5 linked regions of the Rattus norvegicus genome follow. The protein of the gene in region 5 interacts with the protein of the main gene of each other region in a pairwise test. Links are inferred from orthologs where the notes say so. Each region holds a gene or a part of one and is shown on either strand. Other genes may lie near its edges. The genes, in order: Keap1, Clns1a, Tcl1a, Lsm10 and Lsm3.

Evidence for each region.
Region 1: the proteins of Lsm3 (region 5) and Keap1 interact in binary tests that used the Homo sapiens proteins (3 or more experiments, as listed by UniProt). The two-hybrid records come from large-scale screens. The link is inferred for Rattus norvegicus from reciprocal best matches to the Homo sapiens genes LSM3 and KEAP1.
Region 2: the proteins of Lsm3 (region 5) and Clns1a interact in binary tests that used the Homo sapiens proteins (3 or more experiments, as listed by UniProt). The link is inferred for Rattus norvegicus from reciprocal best matches to the Homo sapiens genes LSM3 and CLNS1A.
Region 3: the proteins of Lsm3 (region 5) and Tcl1a interact in binary tests that used the Homo sapiens proteins (3 or more experiments, as listed by UniProt). The two-hybrid records come from large-scale screens. The link is inferred for Rattus norvegicus from reciprocal best matches to the Homo sapiens genes LSM3 and TCL1A.
Region 4: the proteins of Lsm3 (region 5) and Lsm10 interact in binary tests that used the Homo sapiens proteins (3 or more experiments, as listed by UniProt). The link is inferred for Rattus norvegicus from reciprocal best matches to the Homo sapiens genes LSM3 and LSM10.

The regions. Positions count from the first base shown.
Region 1 is NC_086026.1:28,051,234-28,055,442, forward strand, and holds the start of Keap1 (kelch-like ECH-associated protein 1), read right to left. Parts: upstream 2,810-4,209; 5' UTR 2,534-2,809; intron 2,393-2,533; exon of another isoform or gene 2,253-2,392; intron 1,215-2,252; 5' UTR 1,168-1,214; coding exon 529-1,167; intron 1-528. UniProt on the Homo sapiens protein: Substrate-specific adapter of a BCR (BTB-CUL3-RBX1) E3 ubiquitin ligase complex that regulates the response to oxidative stress by targeting NFE2L2/NRF2 for ubiquitination.
Region 2 is NC_086019.1:161,429,205-161,433,477, reverse strand, and holds the start of Clns1a (methylosome subunit pICln), read right to left. Parts: upstream 2,810-4,273; 5' UTR 2,785-2,809; coding exon 2,645-2,784; intron 1-2,644. UniProt on the Homo sapiens protein: Involved in both the assembly of spliceosomal snRNPs and the methylation of Sm proteins.
Region 3 is NC_086024.1:129,892,953-129,897,172, forward strand, and holds the start of Tcl1a (T-cell leukemia/lymphoma protein 1A), read right to left. Parts: upstream 2,805-4,220; 5' UTR 2,744-2,804; coding exon 2,624-2,743; intron 1-2,623. UniProt on the Homo sapiens protein: Enhances the phosphorylation and activation of AKT1, AKT2 and AKT3. Promotes nuclear translocation of AKT1. Enhances cell proliferation, stabilizes mitochondrial membrane potential and promotes cell survival.
Region 4 is NC_086023.1:143,657,223-143,660,894, reverse strand, and holds Lsm10 (U7 snRNA-associated Sm-like protein LSm10), read right to left. Parts: upstream 2,340-3,672; 5' UTR 2,250-2,339; exon of another isoform or gene 1,423-2,249; intron 1,265-1,422; 5' UTR 1,241-1,264; coding exon 872-1,240; 3' UTR 511-871; downstream 1-510. UniProt on the Homo sapiens protein: Appears to function in the U7 snRNP complex that is involved in histone 3'-end processing. Increases U7 snRNA levels but not histone 3'-end pre-mRNA processing activity, when overexpressed. Required for cell cycle progression from G1 to S phases.
Region 5 is NC_086022.1:125,577,028-125,580,985, forward strand, and holds the start of Lsm3 (U6 snRNA-associated Sm-like protein LSm3), read left to right. Parts: upstream 1-1,157; 5' UTR 1,158-1,257; coding exon 1,258-1,278; intron 1,279-1,959; coding exon 1,960-2,070; intron 2,071-3,958. Other genes in the region: Xpc (DNA repair protein complementing XP-C cells), read right to left, coding at 905-998. UniProt on the Homo sapiens protein: Plays a role in pre-mRNA splicing as component of the U4/U6-U5 tri-snRNP complex that is involved in spliceosome assembly, and as component of the precatalytic spliceosome (spliceosome B complex).

The sequences.
Region 1 (4,209 bases), on a different chromosome or scaffold from region 5:
AGAAGTCTGCCAAAAAAAATAAAATCTAAGGTGCTGGAGAGATGACTCAGCAGTTGAGCGCACTACTGACTGCTCTTCCTGAGGACCAGAGTTCAAATCCCAGCACCCACGTGGCAGCTCACAACTGTCTGTAACTCCAAGACCTGACCCTTTCACATAGAAAAACATTCAGGCAAAACAATAATGCACACAAAATAAAGGTAAATGAATTTTTAAAAAAAGATTTAAAAACAAAAGTAAAACCAAGTCCTGGGGCTCTGCGTTCCATTCCAGTATCTCTTAAGTATACTGGGAGTCTGTGACTACAGTACTTGGGAGACTGACACAGGAATCAGGAACTTAAAACCATCCTCAGATACACAACCAGATTAGGGCCAGCCTGAGCTACATGAGGCCCTATGGAGAAAAGGAGGAAGAAAAAAAGAAATCTTCCTCCAGCCTTGAATGGCCGCTCCAGTCTCGGAGAGCACTATGCTGGCCCATCCCACTTCTTGTGACAACTGAGCCCAAACCCCAGGTCTTACTCACCTCCCCGAAGTGCATGTAGATATACTCCCGAGCACGCTGGTGCAGTTCCGTGCAGCCGATCTGCTCGGCGAAGTTGGCGATGCCGATGGCGTTGCTGGGGTCCAGCTGCTGCACGAGGAAGTCGCTGCAGGCTCGGACCACGCTGTCAATCTGGTACATGACTGCCCCGTTCATCACATGCAGCACACACTTCTCGCCCACGGAGATGGAGGCCGTGTAGGCGAACTCAATTAGCCTCTCCATGACCTTGGGGTGGATGCCTTCAATGGACACCACCTCCATGCCCTGCTCCCGAAGCCCGTTGGTGAACATAGCTTTAAAGACTGGGCTGGAGGAGGCCAGCACCACTTTGTGGGCCATGAATTGGGCAGCTGGGATGTCCTCATATTTGACCTGCAGGGTCACGTCACAGAGCTGCTGGCTCAGCCGAAGCTCGTTCATGATGCCAAAAGCCTGCTTGGTGTGATCCTCTAGTGTGTAACTGAAGGTTCGGTTACCATCCTGCGAGGGCGTCACCTCCGCCTTGCACTCCGTGGATGCATACATCACCGCGTCCCCTGCCCCCTCCGGGCACTTTGACCACAGGGGCAGGAACTGGCTGCTGCGGGGAGCCCCGCTAGGCTTGGGTTCGGGCTGCATGGGGTTCCTGATGACAAGATACAGTTCCACCACTAGCGATTAGGGGCCTGGAAGGAGGGAAGAGTACAGGGCTGGATTAGGCCAGACCCTGCCACATTTTTTTTTTGTTTGTTTGTTTGTTTCTTGTTTTCTTTTGAGACAGGGTCTTAGCCTAGGCTGGCTTCAAACTCACTATGTAAACAAGGCTGTTTGCTGTTTCCTCCCGTGTACTGGGACTACAGTTTGTGTCACCATATCTAGCCAAGCTTTAATTTTTTTTTTTTTTTTTAGACTAAGCAATGATTTCTAGAGCAGTTTTTGTCAAGCCAAGTGAACTGGACACACCCGGCTCCATTCAAACTGACTTCTTCTCAAATCACCGGCCGTTCCTTTTCCTGCTCAGAATCACCCAATACCTATCCCAGAGCCCAAGAGTGGAAACCCAGCTCCTCAATGGCCTGTAAAACTCCACACCCCCTTCTAGACCTCTTCACTCAGTTCCAGCCATGCTTCCCTTCCCTTCATCCGACATGTCAAATCCCTTTCTTCAACACCTCACCAAAATTTACAGAGCCTGCCATTTATACTTGCAACTGTTCTGAGCTCCAGGGACACAGCAGGAAGACAGAAAAGGCCTGAAAATAAAGCAAGGTCTGTATAGAAAACACTAGGCGAGCACCAAGGCCCTGGGCAGAGTGTGCAGCCTCTGGAACACCCACGGTGAGGGATTCAGGAGACCCTTGGAGACCTGGGGCCAGGACAGGAGTTATGCTTTCAAAGGAGATGTGGGGACACAGAGAGGGCCTGCAGCTGGCTCCCCAGGTTCTGGGGCTCAGCCTGGAGTCGCGTCCCCCAGTGTTATGTCTACTAGGTCACCATGGGGGGGACGACGATGAAATGCTCCAGGGGCCCCAGTAAGTGAGCGACTGTCACGCGTGACCACACTGCCGGAGCTCGGGCCTGGCATTGCGCAGAGGGCTGAGCAGCAGCCACCCGGTACCCGGTGCCTGCTCCAGCGGCCTCCCTAACGCTCGGAGGCGCAGCCCTGACGCCTGGAGAGCCCGCAGGGCCTGGTCCCGGGCCGCGGCCCGGAGCGGCGCACTCACCCCGCCATGGCCGCGCTCTGCCTCCGCCTCCGCCGCGCGGGTCACGGTGACTAAGCACAGCGCACCACCCTGTCACAATAAGAGTCCCGGGGCGCCGGCCGCGGGCGACCCCTACCCTCGACTCGCCTCGGCCACCACCCTACGCGGGTGCACGGGCTGGGCGCGGGTGCGCACTTGGAGGGGTCACGCGCTTCCCCCCACCGCGTGCACGTCCCCACGCGCGACCGCGGGCGGCGCCCGGAGCTGGCTCCCCACCGCATCCTCCGCGGGCGCTCGCTCACCTCCGTCCCACCCCCCCGGGTGTCTCTGTTGGTGCCACGCGTCCAATCCGCACCGCCGGGCCGCCACGCGCCGCGCTTCCGGGAGGAGCCGAGGGCAGCCAGGGGGCCTCGGATCGGGGCAGCGGTGCTGCGGGGTCCCGGGCGGCACGCGTGGGAGGAGCGGGAGGGCGGAAACAGGCGGCGGGCACGCAGAGGCGGTTCCAGCCCTTCCTGCAGGTGCCGGGCGGAGGGAGCAGGGCGTGGGTCAGGGCGGCCCTAGGAGCCTGCCTCCGGGTTAGGCTGTCCAGTACGCCTCTAGCTGAACCTGCCCCAGCGGACCCTCCCACACCCTACCCGGCCCAGCCAGACCTATGTACCTGGTTGAGATACAGATCTTCCTTTAAAATAACTTTTTAATGGTTTCTATTTCAATTCGCATTTTACTTTATGTGTGTGGGTGTTTTGCCTGCGTGTATGTCTGTGCCCCGTGGGCGTGCAGTGCCCCCTAAAGTTACAGGTTATCCACCCTGTGGAGAGGGGGAATTGAACTCTGGTCTTCTGCAAGAGCAACAGGTACTCTTAACTGCTGAGCCAGCACCCCAGCCTTATAACTTCTTTTTTGAGAATGGCCTCATTACATAGCCCTGGCTGGCCTCTGCCTCTCGCTCTGCCTCCTGCGTGCCGGGGTGAGGGGGAGTGGGGGGGTGGGGGTTTAAAGGCTGTGACACCACGCAGGGCTTTGTGTACATTAATTTATTTGTGTGTATGCTTGTGTGTAGAGGTCGGGGGATGACTGGCAGAAACTGATTCTCTTCCCCTATGTGGAGCCTGCAAGGTGCAACAGCAGCCCACTTTCCTCTCTCCTCTCTCTGTAGTCATTTTTTCATGAGGAGAGGTGTGGCATTCATCTGAGGGTGTTGGAGAGTTGGAATGCCCAGAATTGCCTTTCTTTGCATTTCTCATTATATATATATATATATATATATATATATATGATAAGAGATTCTTATTTGCTACAAAGGCATTTATGAGAGAAAATTATTTTCTTGACCTATAAGATTTGGCCAATTCTGGCAACTAAGTTCCATCCCTGTTTCTCACGTGGTAGTAAAAAACTTACTCCTCCAAGTTGTCCTCCAACCTCCACATGCACACATAAATTAATTTTGGAAAATAAAGTTATTATTGGTGCTGGAGAGATGGCTCAGTGATTACAGCACTGACAGCTCTTTCAGAGGACCCAGGTTCAATTCCCGGAACTGGTATTAGGGTCAAAATGAACGCCTATAACTCCAGTTACAGGGGATCCCATACCCTTTTCTGGCTTCCACAAGCACCACAACCATGAAGACAAAACACCCATACACATAAAATAAAGATAAATAAAAAAATTTAATATTATTTGACTGACTGGTGCAGACAAGATGTCATTTTTAGCCCAGGCTAGCTTTGAACTCTGTCTCCTGTCTCCATCTCTCCAATGGGATTACAAATGTGTATTCTGGGTTTTTTCTTTCAATTTATTTTTAATTTCATGTTCATTGCTGTTTTGCCTGCATGTATGTCTGTATAAGGTGCATACTGGATCCCTTGGAACGGGAGTTACAGATGGTTGTGAACTGCCATGTGGGTTCTGGGAATTGAACCCAGGTCCTCTGGGAGAGCAGCCAGTGCTCTTAACTGCTGGGCTATCTCTC
Region 2 (4,273 bases), on a different chromosome or scaffold from region 5:
AGCCATTGTTGGATTAACTAGACCTCACCTGTAAGTCATCCTAACAAATCCATATTCTCAAAAGATATGCCTACTGCAGAGTTCAGGGTATAAAAGTGCTTAAAAAAACAAAACCCTCTTCATCTATAGAGCAACTCTGATGGTGGACAAAGCCAGGTGTTTATGCAAGAAACACATGAATGTGAAGGGAAGCAAGTTTGGTATGTTGAGGGGTGAGTTTGGTTGGTGTATGTATGGAGTAGTTGGGCTTCTGTGTCTGTATCTTAGGAGACTGGTATCAAACAGCATAAAAATAACTTTTATTCTCCTACAGTAAGTGTCATCTCTGAAGTTTAATTCCTCCGCTGCTAACCTAGGCCTAGTCTTGGAAGACTCTAGCCTCCGTACAATCTAATCTAGGCTAGACTTACTGCTGAAAAAACTCGCCCTTTCCCATTCTTTCTGACTGGTTTAACTTGGCTCTTTTGGGGCAAACTCCTCTCCAAGATGGCTGATTCAATCTGGTTTCTCTCAGTTTCTCCTGAATTGTTCTGCTTGGCATCAAACTAACTCTAGCTGATCTGACTACTCATTCTCTGCCCCCCCCCCCCTTTTTTTTCTCTAACCTGTCTCTGTACAACTATTCCAGTAAAACTGTCTCCTTCCTTTTTCTGCACAGCTCTTAAATAGCTTCCCTTTCCTCTCATTTCTCCTGAGAGTTGGGCATATCCTATTTGGTCAAGTCTTTCTCTGATTCATCACTCTGTCTGCCACTCATTTAGACATCACTTTCAATCATGGTGCTTCCTTCTACAAACTAACTTGACCTTCACTGTTTAGGATTCAAGGTGTATACTAAGGATGTGTCTGTCTTCCAGTCAGAGGCTATAAAGAGGTGTGCTAAAGGCTGAGCCACACCACGACTAGAAAAAAAGGACTTTTCTAGTATACACTCTTGGGGTTCACAGTGTGATCAAATGTCCAAAAGACAGATTTGAAATTCAAAAGAGTAGGTATTAACATACTCACTGGAGTAGGCTATATAGTCCAGAAGAGAGGGCCAGGCAAAGGACCTTAGAGAAATGCATGCGTAAAGAGAAAAAGACTTAGGAGAGGGAAGGTACACACAGTAAGATCTTGGGTGATCTCAACAATTTCTTCTGCATGTGGAGTGTGAAACACAGAAATAATCCTAACTCTGAAAAACAAGATCCATTTTATTTATCCATGTGTATTTTTGATGTCTTTTAATATTATTTAATTATTTATTTAATGTGTGTACACTATAACTGTCTTCAGACACACTAGAAGACGGCATCAGATCCCATTACAGATGGCTGTGAGACACCATGTGGTTGCTGGAAATTGAACTCTGTACCTCTGGAAGAGTAGTTAGTGCTCTTAAGTGCTAAACCATCTCTCCACCCATGTGTATTAGTCAGGGTTCTCTAGAGTAACAGAACTTACAGAATGAATGAATGAATCTCCACCACTTCTTCCTACCCACCCCCTTTCTTTCTCCCTCCTGACTGCTCCAAACCTTTTATATATATATATATATATATATATATATATATATATATATATATACACATATATATATATATGTGTGTGTGTGTGTGTGTGTGTGTGTGTGTGTGTATATATATACACAAACAAACTGAGTGCCCACCCACATATGTATTTCCAGTCGGTGTCTAAACACCCAGGCTTTGCCCCACCATCCAAACAGTTCTTTAAACAATTAACTTCTTACACTTTTATACCCTGGACTCTGGAGTAGGCATAATCTTGGTCCCTAAGAGATTTGTTTCCCAGTGCCATGACAGAGGGGATTCTGAATGTATTTAAGGTTACTAATCAACTGACTGTGATATAAAGGAGGCTAGCTTGGATTTTTCTAGGCAGGCCTAATGTTATTTATAACACTGAGCTCTTAAAAGAAAAGTAGCCTCTGGGGCCAACAAATGAAATACAGCAGATGGTAAACCAGAGAATCTGAAGGACAGAAAGTATGAGAAAGATAGTAAGGCGGGAGTGGGGGTGTGAGTGTGGGGTTGGGGGGAGACAGAGAGAGGGAGACAGAGAGAATAAGAACAGGAAAATATGGGGGTGGGCACGAAGGTATGAGCGTGTGTATAGTGTGTATTTTAGTGACTCGTCTATCTTATTGTGGAAGTACAAAGTCCTGCAAGTAGTCAAATACAAGAATTCCTTCCAAGACCTGCACATCCAGGAGTCGGGTTCGACTGGTTATGACTCCGCCCTGCGAGGGCCTGAAGATGCTCTTTTCCCCCACCCACATCTGGAGCGGAAAATCCAAGCTCATTAATCAAACGTCCTAAACCCGTCACAATCTCCTCTGAGCTACATATTCCACGCAGGGAAAACATCTAGTTCACACGATCATTCAGAAAGCCAGGCCCATCGAAAAACTAGCCGAGGCTCTGCAGACTCAAAACTAAACGCGACCACGCGCCAGGCTTGCAGGAGACAGGCACAAGTCGTTAATGAGAACAGAGCCAGCTGAGCTCCGGAGGGGGGTAATCCCACCGGGCCCGCATAACAGCAGCGTCGGCCGACGCCCCCCTGTAGTACCCCGTGGTCGCGCCTCTGGGAGGAAGGCGCCCCCGAAGGAGGCCGGCGCCGGAGTCCTGGAACCTACCTCTCCGCAATGTAAAGCGTGCCGGTGCCGAGCCCCTTCCCGTTCAGCACAGCTTCGGTGTCTGGCTGCTGCAGCCGGAGTCCATCTGCGGACCCAGGGGGCGGGAAGCTTTTGAGGAAGCTCATTGCGGGCGAAAGCATTGCTCCACAGGAACCAAGAAAGCAGAGCACCGCAATCCCGGTTCGCAGGGAGCTGCCCCGGAAGCAGTAGCCGTACTCCGGAAGAACAACTTTCTCATCGAGGAATTTCGCGTGCAGTTGACCATAGAGACGGGATGTTCTAGGCAACTCAGAGATCTGTAGCGAGCCGGCCTTCTGTCACGTGATACTGGTTCCCTTCTCAGGCTCCCGTAAGGGTGCTTAGAATAACCGAGTGTTTTCTCTGTGGTTCTACTTCAAGGTCGTCGCAGAAAACCCTGAGAGAGGCTGTATGAGGAATACGAAGACTTTCCCAATAAAAAGTGGGAATGGGCCTAGGCCCCTGGAGTCCCTTGCCTGAGCAGGACGCACAGAAATAAAATCCACACTCATCTGGAGGTCAAAAATCTCCGGGTTGGGTGCACCCTGCTTCCTCCTCGTCGGGCCTGTTCTTCTTGGGTTCACACAGCCATTTACCAGGCCTTTTAGTTCCCATGTCGCCGGAGAGGTCGAGTGCCCCATCCCCACGTGTCACGCCAGGAAGACAAAAAGATTACATTAATTGATCAGCAGCGCGGCCAGACAGTCAAAAGACAGTGCCCAGGGAAAAGGTCTGGAACCCTTGCCTTCCCAGCTTGCTAGGCCCCCAAAAAATACGTGCAGTGAAAACATACAGATTTAGTAAATAGAAACCTATAACCGAGGCTTATAGAACACACAGCATAAGGACCTTACCTCTTATTTCTTCATGGATTCGTTCGTGGTTTTAGATACAGGGCTTCCTTCTGTAGCCCATGCTGGCCTCCAATACATAATCGATATGCACCCTACTCTAGGGTACTAGAACTATTACGGGCATCCATCACTACACCTGCTCAATTCAGTTTTATTCTGATGATAAACAATATGAACACATTTTTATTACTGACCCAGTTTTACAGATGAGACCATTAAATTCACAAGCTAAAGTTTGGTAATGACTTGGTGGATGGAATTCAGTCAGCTGATCTCTAGACTCCACCTTTTTTGGCTGTAGAATTGTAATGTCTATGGGGTCAGGGCTGTTTAGGTTGGATAACATGTAGAATGTGATGGGAGTTTTGTCTTTCCTCCTCTTCCTTCTCTTTCTCTTCATCCTCCTTCCCCCACCCCTCCTTTTTTTTCTTTTTGGAATCGTCTCAACAGAAGTATCTTTAGATTTTTTTTTCCTTACGATTTAAAAAAACAAAACAACAACAAAAAAACCTCTGTGTACATATTGAGTGCAGTTGCCCAATGACTCCAGAAGTGGGCACTGGATCTGCTGGAACTCGTTACAGGCAGGTGTAAGCTACCCTGCCTGGGTGCAGTGAAACCATCTGCATTAGGCATTCTCAGAGGCTGGTCCAATGTCTCCAGTTCCAAGTGTTAACGCTTTTAAATTTAGCCAGTTTGTCATTAGTGAGACTAGAAAATTGGTCCACTGACAGGAATGAGAAGGTGGGAGTGGAGT
Region 3 (4,220 bases), on a different chromosome or scaffold from region 5:
TCGTCCCAGCCACAATGTGATGCCTGGTTTGTGGGGTTCTCACAGTCTACGCAGCAAGCCTCACCAAATCTGTGAAGGGCGAGCTCCCTTTTGGGCAGCCCTCTGTTCAAATGTAGGTCTATAAAGAACAAACACTACATAAAAACCACGTTAGAGTAGTGATGAAACATACAGTTTTATTAACTGACAGGAGTTAAAATTCATTGTTTTGAAGCAGGACCTCATCATATCTAATTCTTGCCAGTTTGGAACTTGCTCTACAGGCCAAGCTAGCCTCAGACTTACAGAGCTCCACCTATCTCTGCCTCCCAAGTGCTGAAATCAAGGGAGAATACCACATAGGCACCACATGTAGTCAGTTCCTGTCCATCATGTGCATCCTGGGAAATCAAACTCAGGTCATTGGGTTTGGTGGCCGTAGTGGCTATTCCTGGTTGTCAACTTGACTGTATCTGGAATGAACTACAATCCAGAATTGGAAGGCTCACCTTTGATCCTGATCTTGAGGCTGGGAGATACAAGTTTCTAACCTGGATCTTGAGGCACAGTGGCTATGTATCCCAGGAGCTTAAGGCAAGGAGATCTCTGAGTTCAAGGTCATCTGGGACAAAACAAGTACCTGACCCAGGCATGGGAGTACACAACCATTAATCTGGGACACCCCTTCTGCTGGAGATTTACATAAGGACACTGGAAGAACGGAGGGTCTCTTTTTTTGTCTGCCTGCCTTGTAGCACTGAGCCACCACTAGAACCTTGAACTTCCATTCACAGCTGCTACTGACCATGGTTGGAGAGTTGGATTACAGACTAAGTCATTGACCAATTCTCCCGTAAGTTCTATGGCTCTAGAGAACCCTAAGACAATGAGAAACCTGGTCTCAGCCACCTCACCAGCTCCTGAAAATGAGTTTTATCCACCGATTTGGGATGGAAAAAACAAAACGGAAAATTCACCACCTAAACACACAAAGCATCTTCCCCCAACACACACACACACACACACACACACACACACCCAGTACAAGCAAACCATACAAGGCAGACCAGTTAAGACCTGGTGGGACCAAACAGCACAGGCCTGCAATGCCTACTACTCAATAAGCTGAGGCAGGAGGATGGATCCTAAGTCCAAGGCCTACCTGGGATACAAAGGGAGCTTAAGGTCAACCTAAGCAGCTAAGACCAAGTCTCAAAACTGAAGACCTGTACAAAAGGGCTGGGCTGTGGCTGTGCAGTAGAGTTCTCGTCTGTTCTGCACAGAGCCCTGGGTTTGCTCGTCAGCAGTGCAGGGGAAGAGAAAGCAATTTGAAACAAGACGACTCAAAATGTGACAGGCGACCACAGTCTGTGAGTTCACAGTGTGCTGACGCCCCCTCTCCACAGCACAACTCACTTCCCCCGCCCCCAACCCCCATGCCTACTTTCTTCCCCCACAGGACTCATCTGCCAGCCTAATCATTACTTTGGTTACCCCATTCCCCACTGCACCTCCTTCCCAAGAATAGGGCTCCTACCATACTCCCTGCATGCCCTCAGTGCAGACCTGTGTTTGGGATTTACACTAAGCACTCTCAGGTGTTTAACAAGTGCACTTTTCCCCCAACGTGAGACCACTCCTGTGTAATGATCTGCGGACGACGAGATCAGTTGAATCTGTTAAGTCAGATTGTGGTGCCAGGTGTGTAAGCTCCACCATTCACAGCCCCTGAGTCAACAATCTAACCACTGTTACAAATTATCCTGTTTCCTTATTAAAGCACACATACACGGCTTCTTCAGTCATGGGAAATAAACCCTGCCTTGGAGTTCGCTACCAGGCTCCTCCTGTTCAGACAGCATCTACCACACCTCTGGAACACTCGTTGGCTCACGGTTTGCATGAAAAGCTAGTCATTAACCGGATATTAACAAGAAATAGCCACCCATGTTGTCTTCACACATCTGACTTAATGTTTAAAAAAAAAAAAACTAGATATATGTAAAGTTAGCGTTGTAAAATGACAGCAAGAATGTAAATTTAAGAGCCCAGAACTGTGGCTCCACCATTTACTAGCAGCACCCCAAGTCTGCCAGGAAGCCCCACCATCTACTAGTCACTCCCAAGGCTCACAATCCCCAACTTTGCCGGAGTGGAGCCAGTTCTCAGGCCCTGGCGTACCACGCAACGTCTCAGCAGTTTAATTTTGCTTTTATAGCTTCTCTTGGCTTTACAAGTGGAATACTTTCTGCTGGAAAGTACCTCTAGAAGAGATTTCTTTTGAAAGCACCAATGTTCATTAAGACCCATGCCGAGGACTCCACACGCAAAACAAAGTTAAGTCTTATTACCAACGTGGATACTACTGGCTACCCAATTTTATGGTTTAGGGAAGCCTTGTTTCACCCCAAATCATAATCACACACCCCAGGCAATGTGTGAGAGGGGCTTGTTCACTGAACTCGGGGTGCCCCCACCCTCCTCCAGGCAGGCCCACAAGGCCCGACTCATCTGGGGTTTCCCTAGTCCTCCTGTTTCAGGCACAAGGGACCCGCTGTACTCTGGTCTCCTGTTACCAGGACTCCCAAGCCCAGACAGGGTATACCCCTGCTGCCCGACCTGCTAGCCCCAAGGCGGTTGGTACCTTGATGACTATCGGCAACCAGCTGCGACGAAATTCATCCAAGTACACGTGCTTCTCCCAGAGCCACAGGCGGTCGGGGTGTGGGGGTGTCTCTGGCCTGTATGCCAGCTGGTTAGCCATGGCATCCGGTCGGAGCAAGAAGCAAAAAATTGCAATGCCAGTCCGTGATAAAGCGACTTCCTAAGCAGAGAGCATAAGAAACTTGCTATTTATCACCACCAGGTGTGGGCCTGTGCCCCCTGGAGCGAGGCGGGGCGGGGCGGGGCAGCGTAGTGTGGGTGGGGCGAACCACAAGGATGGTATGCAGGACACTCAAGTGGACTTCCACCAGGTCTACGTTTGCAGACCTGACCCATCAGACCTAGGGTTCTTCAAGGCCCCCAGGAGATGTTGCTTCTCTCCAGGTACACCCGGCCACCGGAAAGGTATCCATGACCTGTCAGGAAAAACAGCCCTTTGCGTCCTTTATGGTGAGACCCCACGGTCCTAGCTACTTTGTGTGACTGCTCAAGCCACACACACCCCCATGGCAGAACACCCAGAGTGAGGTCCATCTACATATCTCCTGGGATCAGAAACCAGTCCGGTTCTCCATCACCTTCAGCCAGTCCTTTTGGGTGTCACAGGCAGTTTCCTTTGCAAAGTTCAGTCCCCTCCCTCTTCCGCTCATGACTTTTTCCATGGCTCTGATGAGGCTGTGGTCTTCTAATAAGTCTTGCAAAACATACTTTTGAAAACATGGGTTTACTGTCTTTGTCCTCCGACTTAGAGAATGCATCAGTCCAGACCCAAACTTAAAAAGAAACCCTCCCTACACCCAAGATCAATGGATTTGGAAAGTCTCTGAGTTGCTCAACCAAAACTGTCTCGTTGTAAACAAATAAGGAAAACCAACTTTCATTATTTTACAGTAACGCCTGCCCATTAAGGCAATTAAGAAATTAATGGAAAACATGGAAAACCCAACTCTGGGCTGGATGCTTCAAACAGCCCTTCAGCTAGCATCTGAGCCTTGGCCTCACTGAGGACTCACGGAGGAAGCCATTTGTGGTCTTCGGAAGGTCAATCCCCCAGAAGTGTCAAAATGGCCTGAGGTCAGCCTGGTGGGTTCAGATTAACCGGAAAAAGAAACAAAGAAAAGACTTAAGCCCTTCAAGCGCAGACCTTGGCCTTCAGAATTCAGACTAGCTGCTTTTGTGCCCATTTCCCTGTAGATGACTGTCTCCAAACCCAGGTAACTTCGTAGAAAGATGAAGACTTTTGGAATAAGCTTGGTGTGGAAGTTCTGGGTGAGTGCAGCCTTAGCAGGAGGATAATTACTTATTTTTTTTTTAAAGATTTATTCATTTATTATATACAAGTACACTGTAGCTGTCTTCAGACCCACCAGAAGAGGGCACCAGATCTCTTTATAGATGGTTGTGAGCCACCATGTGGTTGCTGGGAATTGAACTCATGACCTCTGGAAGAGCAGTCGGGTGCTCTTAACCGCTGAGCCATCTCTCCAGCCCAATTACTTATTTTTAATTCATTATTTTGTGTTTGTATTTGGGTGTGCCTGCCATGTAGGGCTCGGAGAAAAACATCGTAGGTCCTT
Region 4 (3,672 bases), on a different chromosome or scaffold from region 5:
ACACTTAGCATGGACTAGCCTCAAACTCATGATCCTCCTGCCTCTGCCTCCTTCATTAAATCCTACTGTGTGCACCACTACTCCTGGTCTCCTTTGGTTTTTTGAGGCAGGGATTTCACCCTTAGCCGAGGCTGATCCTTGTTCTTTAGCCTCCTGAAAGCCAGGATTATACATGTGAAACACTATGCCTGGCTGAGATCAATTTCTTATTAGCTGAACTCTCCAGCCTGAGAGGAGGACCAGGGCATCCAGACTCTGGGCTTTAGTGACTAGCAGGAAAATGATAGTCTCAAGGACTCTCCAACAGAAAGGCCACTTTCCGTTAGATTTTTTCGTAATAATCTGGGAAACAGGGCCACAATCCAGACCAAGTAAATCCTGGTGTGCTCTCCACCTGCACTCTGCTCCTACACAGGAGCCAGAAGCCCAGTACACACCAGGCAGGGCATCAGGCAGAGACCCAGAGCATTAGAGCATGTGTATCGCAGGACAAGGACTACAAGTCCCAGGAGTTTGGTTTTATGAGAAAAGAAACAAATGACAAGAGAAATGGGATGTTAGAGGTGATTCACTCCAAACACTCTCAAGTAATCCTCACTGGCAGAGTTAACAACTCCTTGATGGATGGGGTCAATCAGTGAATGGAGATTCCAGATACAAATGATCAAAAAGAGGGATTGTCACCTACCCCAAGGCCACCAGCAGAAGGAATTCTGGGTCCCAAGGTGTGTCTGAAAAGTGGAACCCTATGAAAGGCAGCTGTGATGTGTCTATAAGACACCAGGTCATTGGTGGGGAAGGATGGACGGGAGTTGGCTCAGAACACTGGAGGTCCCTGAGGTGGTGCTGGAATTTGAATGAGGACACAGTCTCATGGCCTTTTGGAGGGGAACTCTCGACGACCTTGACCCTTGCCACCAAAGTTGCGCACACGGTGGATGATCTGTAGCTGCTGCTCGATTGTGGCAGTGATGTTCACACCGTCTGGGATATGGACATATCGGACATTACGACCTGTCACGAAAAGGTCATCCAACTCAACCTGATGCCCCCAGCGGTCGGTGTAGGTGACATTGGCCAGACGGATGTTCATGAAAGCATCAACGTTGTCGATGCGTCCTCGGGCCACACTCTCATCTCGAAGGTCCACAGTGGTTATTTGTCCCTGGAGGCCTTGCAACAGGATGATCAGGCTGTTCTCAGAGATGGTTCGCTCCTTCACAGAGTGGCTCAGTGCCATTTTTCCACATTGGTTGGCTGCTCACTGTGGGCAGGAACACACAAATAGATGGTAACTTACCTTTGCAAAGCCCTGAAACTCCACACTAGTGCTCCGGACCCCTCACTGCACTGGATACACCTGGGGAAACTTTTGCCTGGCCTATGCATACCACGCAACCCACGCATCCCAGAGAGATTCACTTGCCTGGGAAGGAGAGGTCCAGATTGTTTTGGTTTTGTTGTTGTTTTTAAAGACAGGGTCTTACTATATCTCCCTGAGTAGGCTAGAACTTGATATGTAAACAAGTGTGGCCTGGAACTCGCAGAGATCAACCTGTCTCTTCTCACAGGTGCTGAGATTCAAGGTGTGTGCTATTTTTAAATGATTTTGGGACAGGGTTTCTCTAGGTTGCCCTGGCTGTTCTGGAACTCTCTATGTAGACCAGGCTGGTCTCAAACTCATCAAGATCCTCCTACCTCTGCCTCTCTAGTGCTGGGATTTAAAGGCGTGTGCTACTATGTTTAGTTTATACCTTTTTTTTTTTAAAGGCACCCCTGATAATTTTAATGTGCCAATCGGCTTGAGAACCACTACTGTAAATTGTAATTTATGTATGTCCTCTGCCAAGCGCTTGTTAATATGCAATCTAGCCAAACATGATGGCGGCACACTTATACCATTAAAGTCTGAGGCAGGAGAAGCACCCTAAACGCCAAACCGGCCTGAACTATATCGTGAACTCCGGGTCAATCTGGATTATGGAATGTTTCCAAAACAAAACAAGCCAAGCCTAGCCAACCAAGATGCATGCATTTAAGCCCAGCTCTCAGGAGGCAGAGGCAGGTGGATCTCCGAGTTACAGACCGACACCCTGTCTTAAAACAAAATCCAAAAGGACAGTCTTTGAGATCTCCAGGCAGGCCCTGACTTTAGCTCCGGTTCTGCTGCTTCCAGGAAGGGAGGCCTGGGGCTTGCCATTAGCGGTCAATCCGGGAAAGTCGGGTGCCTAGTGCGTCCCTTTCCTCACCGCGCGTAAGGGGTTTGGGAAGAAGAGTCCGCAGCCAGTGCGCCAAGGGAAGAGGCCGCCCGGGTCCCAGCGAACCCTAGTCCCCACACTCTACTGCCCGACCCACCGCGTGATGCCTTCCGCCTTCCGCGCGCTACGCCGCCAAAACCCGCCTGTGTCTAGGGGAACACCCACGGAGGCTCAGAGAAGCCATGGCAACCGCGGGAGACCCAGAGCATCAGAGCATGCGCATCGCAGGACACGGACTACAAGTCCCAGGAGGCCGCGCGCCTCACGTCCACTCCCCTTCTCTACCTAGTTTTCCACCTTTGTAGGCTTCCACCTTTGGGGCTTGGAGCTGTGTCCCCTGTTGGCCTTCTGAGCTGATGGCGCTGCGTGAGAAAGAGCATCTGGAAAAAAAAAAATAAGGGAAAAAAAAGTTAAACGTTCTTCACCTGATTAAAATTCAGCGAATGTGGCCGGACGTGGTGGCAAACTCCCTTAATTCCAGCGACTCCAGAGACAGAGGCGCTCTGTGAGTTGGAGAGACCAGGAGAGCAAGGATAGCTAACCCTGTCTCAAAGAGGAAAACACAGGGCTATGGAGAGAGTGCTAAACTTTAGCAATTAAGACCACACACGGTCTGGAGAGATGGCTCAGCGTTAAGAGCACTGACTGCTCTTCCGGAGTTCCTGAGTTCAATTCCCAGCAACCACATGGTGGCTCACAACCATCCATAATGAAGTCCGATGAAATAAATCTTTAAAAAAAAATACTGTATATTATTGCAGATGGCCTAAATCTGATTCCCAGCTCACAAGTGCCTGTAATTAACAGTTAAAAATAAAATCTAGAGCTGGGCATGGAAGCACACATCTTTAATCCTAGCACTCGGAGACAGAGGCAGGTGGATCGCTGTACTTCAAAGCCAGCCTTGGTCTACAAAGGTCAGCCAGAAGCCCTGTCTTGAAAAAAAAAAAACAAAACAAAACAAACAAACAAAAAAAAAAAACAAATCTAGTAAGGTTTAATTTTAACTTATCTGTTTCTGTGTTCGCGTGTAATGGCATACAATGTGTGAGTGGTGGCTGCTCTCAGAAGGCAGCATCAATTCCATGGGACTACAGGTACAGCTGGTGAAAACTGAACTCAGGTCCTCTGAAAGAGTGTATGTGTTCTTAACACCTGAGCCATCTCTCCTGCTCCTAAAAATAACAAATAACATCTTTATTTAAAGTGTGTGTGTGTGTGTGTGTGTGTGTGTGTGTGTGTGTGTGTGTGTGTGTGTGTGTTAGCCAGGAGGGCTAGAAGAGGGTGTCTGATCCCCTGGAACTGGAGTTATAGTTGTGAGCCCATTGTGAGCTACTTGCTGGATGCGGGTACTGGGAACCCGATTCGGGTTCTCTGCAAGAGCTGGATGTATTGTTCTTTCATTTTTTAGGAG
Region 5 (3,958 bases):
CTAAGAGAGGTAGATGCTATACTTGGAGAGCATAAACCTAAGGAGGTTTTAAGTAAGAAGACAGAGGCATAAGGTTTTGTTGTGGTTCTACATCCATTTGGCTGCTAGATGATGGGGCAGACAGATGAGAGGAAGCCAGAAAAGAAGCAACCTGAAGTTCATTTCCTTAACGATATGGACAAGATCTCTAGCTATAAAATTAAGAGAATTAAGTACAGATTTCGGTGGTTCCAAAGCTGAACTGGACTTGATGCCGAACTGGCAGTTAAGAAGAGATGTGTTCTAACGTGTGTTTTAAAAGGGATGATTTATTGAAATAGAACAACTGGGGGGATGGATATGTTTAAGGGGAAAGATGGATCTTGTTCAAGATCTAGATTAAAAACTCATTCCAGCCAGGGCGTAATGGTGCATGCCGGTTAATCCCAGCACTAGGGAGGCAGAGACAGGCGGATCTCTGAGTTTGAGGCCAACCTGGTCTACAAAGCAAGTTCCAGGACAGCTAGGTCTACACAGAGAAACCCTGTCTGGAAAAACAAAGCAAAAAACAAGAGTAACAGAAAGCGCATCCTAAAAACCCGGAGCTGGAGTTACACTGGATGGCAGTCAGGAACTTGATGAGAGAGATCTCTCACTACAGGTCTCCCTCGGTCCTGGTTTTTGGCATCTCCTGAGATACCAGGCAATTGCGAAGCTTTCTCCAGCTCGGCCTTCAACACTTGCTATGGGGCTGAACTTGGTACTAAAGGTTAACCGAGGGGTTAAGACAGATAGCAGAGGCCCTCGGGGGCTGGAGGGGGGACGCATCGGGCCGTAAAGACCTTGCGGTAGACACAGATCCGCTCCGCCGCCCGCCCCAGCCTCCGCCACCATCGCCTGACATGCTGCAGACTTGGCCTCTCACCCGCATCGCTCTCCTCAGGCCGGGTTGCTTTGTTGTCCTCGGCTTCCTGGCCGCGCTTCCTCCGCTTTCCGCCTGCGGTACGCTTTCGGGCCATGCTAGCCAGAGGCGTTCCTCCGGACAACCACGCAGGACTGCCGAAAGTCTCCGCGTGCCGGCTCCGCCCCGAGGCGTGCCATGCCTGGCCGCACCCCCAGCTCCGGATAGGACCACGCCCTCCAAAAAATCCCGCCCCCATGCAAACTACAAGGGCGCGAAGGGACAAAAATAGTGTAGTTCGCCTTCCAGTGCGTGGCGGCCCAACGTTTCCTAGTGTCTGCTCTCGCGAGAGGTGGAAAGGGCGCAGCGTTTGAAACATGGCGGACGACGTAGATCAGGTAAGTTTGTCCTGGGGCGTCCGAAGAGGAAGTGCTTTCGTTTCTTAGCCGGGCTTGCTTTTTCCACGCTTCCCGTGGAATGGCCCTTTTCTTTTTCCCGAGTTCCCACGGCCTTCCGCAGCCAGGCCTGCTCCTAAAACTTCCGTAGGCCCAGAGTTTCTCAACCCGCCCATCTGCCCATCTCGCTCGTCGTCGCCCTTTCTCTGTAGAATGCAGACGGCTGTGGATATCCCATCTATGGGAGATACGGTCGGGATTCCGACAGAAAGAGTACTGTAGCGGTAGGACACCAGCATAGTAATACGTGTAAGCACCTGGCACGCAGGCAGTGGCTCACTTGGAGTGTGTTACGAGGGGAGGTCAGATAAAAGGTGCAGTTATGTGAGATAGAGAAACTGCTAGAGATGTAGTATATAGAAAACAAGCAAAGACCTGGCACACAGTGTTTCTCTTCAGAGCATGTTGTTTTAAATGTGTTCTTTATTTAAAATGTTCGTTCCACAACTAGAATATAAGTTCCTTAATAGGGATTTATTGGGGCTTAGTGGTTAAGAGCACTTTTGGCTCTTGTAGACAACCCTGGCTGTGTACCAACACCCACATGTTGCTTTCACTGCTTAACAGTGATTGAAACACCACACTACCTCAGTGTTCCATTACTAAGCCTTCTTCTCTCATCAGCAACAGACCACCAATACCGTAGAGGAGCCCCTGGATCTTATAAGACTCAGCTTGGATGAGCGAATTTATGTGAAAATGAGAAATGACCGAGAGCTTCGAGGCAGATTACATGTAAGTCTGTTAAGTTATCTCAAAACCAGATGCTCCCCTGTCATCCCTTCCTACCTCCTTACAGATAAGAACTGCAACATAAACTTATTTTTTTTAATTATACAATGACTTTTGGGAGTTGGAAATTCCTTTATTGGCTTTTAAAATATTTTTTCCTTAACCAGAATGTTTTTTAGAGAGGGATGGGACTCCTGTGAGACCAGAACAAGGCATCTGATTGCCCAGAGCTGGAGTTACAGACAGTTGTGAGCTGCCTGGTGTGGTTGCTAGGAGCCAAACTCAGGTCCTCTGCAGGGATAACCAGTGCTCTTAATTTGAGCATCTCTACAACCCTGTAGAACACTTTTGTTTTCTTCAGCTTTGTCCTCTGTTTATTTAAAATGAATAAACTTCTTTTTGTTTTAGACAAGGTCATACTATGTAACCCAGCTAGCTTCAAACTCAAGATCCTCCTGCCTCTCTCTCCTTAGAACTGGGATTTTAGACATGCACTACCACTCTTGCCATTGTCCTATGTTTTTAAAAGTTATTGGACAGGGTGTTTTGGTTTTCGACATATAAAACTCTCCTTTGACATGAAAAAAACTAAATAGCAGGCCAGAGATCGTTCACCTAGTATGTGGCAAAGCCCCTAGCACTACCAAAAAAAAATTAAACACCATAGAAATCTAAAGGTGAAATTCCATTTTCTCTGCACTATTCAAAGTTGGCTACATAGTCGTCCACATCTTTTCTGCATGTGTATATGCTGTCTGTGTTTGAAGGAGGATCCTAGTGAGGTACGGTGGCATGTGCCCATAATTCCAGTACTTAGATGACTGAGGTAGGAAGGTCATATATTTGAGGCCAGTCTGGACTACATAGTGAAACCTTGTCTGGTATGTACACACCTTTTCCACACGGTTTCTGTGTGGAATGATTATGCAGCTGACACAGTTGCCCAGGATTCTCTATAAGGCTTCGGTCACTTTTTTGTTTTTCCAGCCTTAAAACTGCATTGTGCACTTTTACATATATTGCTTGTGCACATTTATGATGCCTGTGGAATTGGTCCCTTGAAGTAGCATTATTGTGCACTTAGGGTTTTGTCTCTTCTTGTTACTTTCCTCAGAGCTGTTGGTTTACAACGGGAATTGGAATTAAGTCTTTTTAGTTCAGGCTTAGAAATAGCCCCATACTGGCACCCACAGAGCCAGTGTGGGGGACAGTCTCAGTCTTTCTTCTATGAAGAAATTTTTAGTTCTTTCATGAAACCTGAGGATAAAGAACCTCTGTGACTTGGAAGGAAATTGGACTGTTGATCTACAAGCCAGCATTAGGGAAACAGCGGTGCCAGTTTGGTGAGAAACATGGGATGGAGCTAAATTGAAAGGCTCTTCGGCACATGGAATGACCCCAGGCTAGACCATCGCCTTTAGTTTGGAGGTGTCTGAAGCTCTTACCTCTGTAGTAAGTGGCCCAGGTTTCTGTTTCCTCCCTGCTCTCCAGCTGAACATTTTGCTCATTTGTGTAGCTGCCAAGCAGTTCCTTCTCAATGTGGCGCCTGGCTATTTTTAATCTTGATATGAGCAGGCAAAAGCACTTAGCACTTTGTTAGAAGAACATATAAGTGGGTTCTGAACAAGCCCCAGGAGGTTTGCTGTTAGTAAAAGGGATGAACTTTGGAGGTTGCACTAAACACTGTGGTTGCAATCCTTCCTGCCTGAGCCCACAGATGCCAAAGCATGTTAAGCTCTGGACAAGTTATAAATGGGCAAAGTAAAGGTGGGACAGATGATTGGTGGGTAAAGTTTGAGTGCTGAAGTTTAGATCCCTAACACCTGTGGAGACCCCAGAACAAGCTCTTGCGTTCAACTTAAAGACACTACCTTAATACATACGGTGGGGA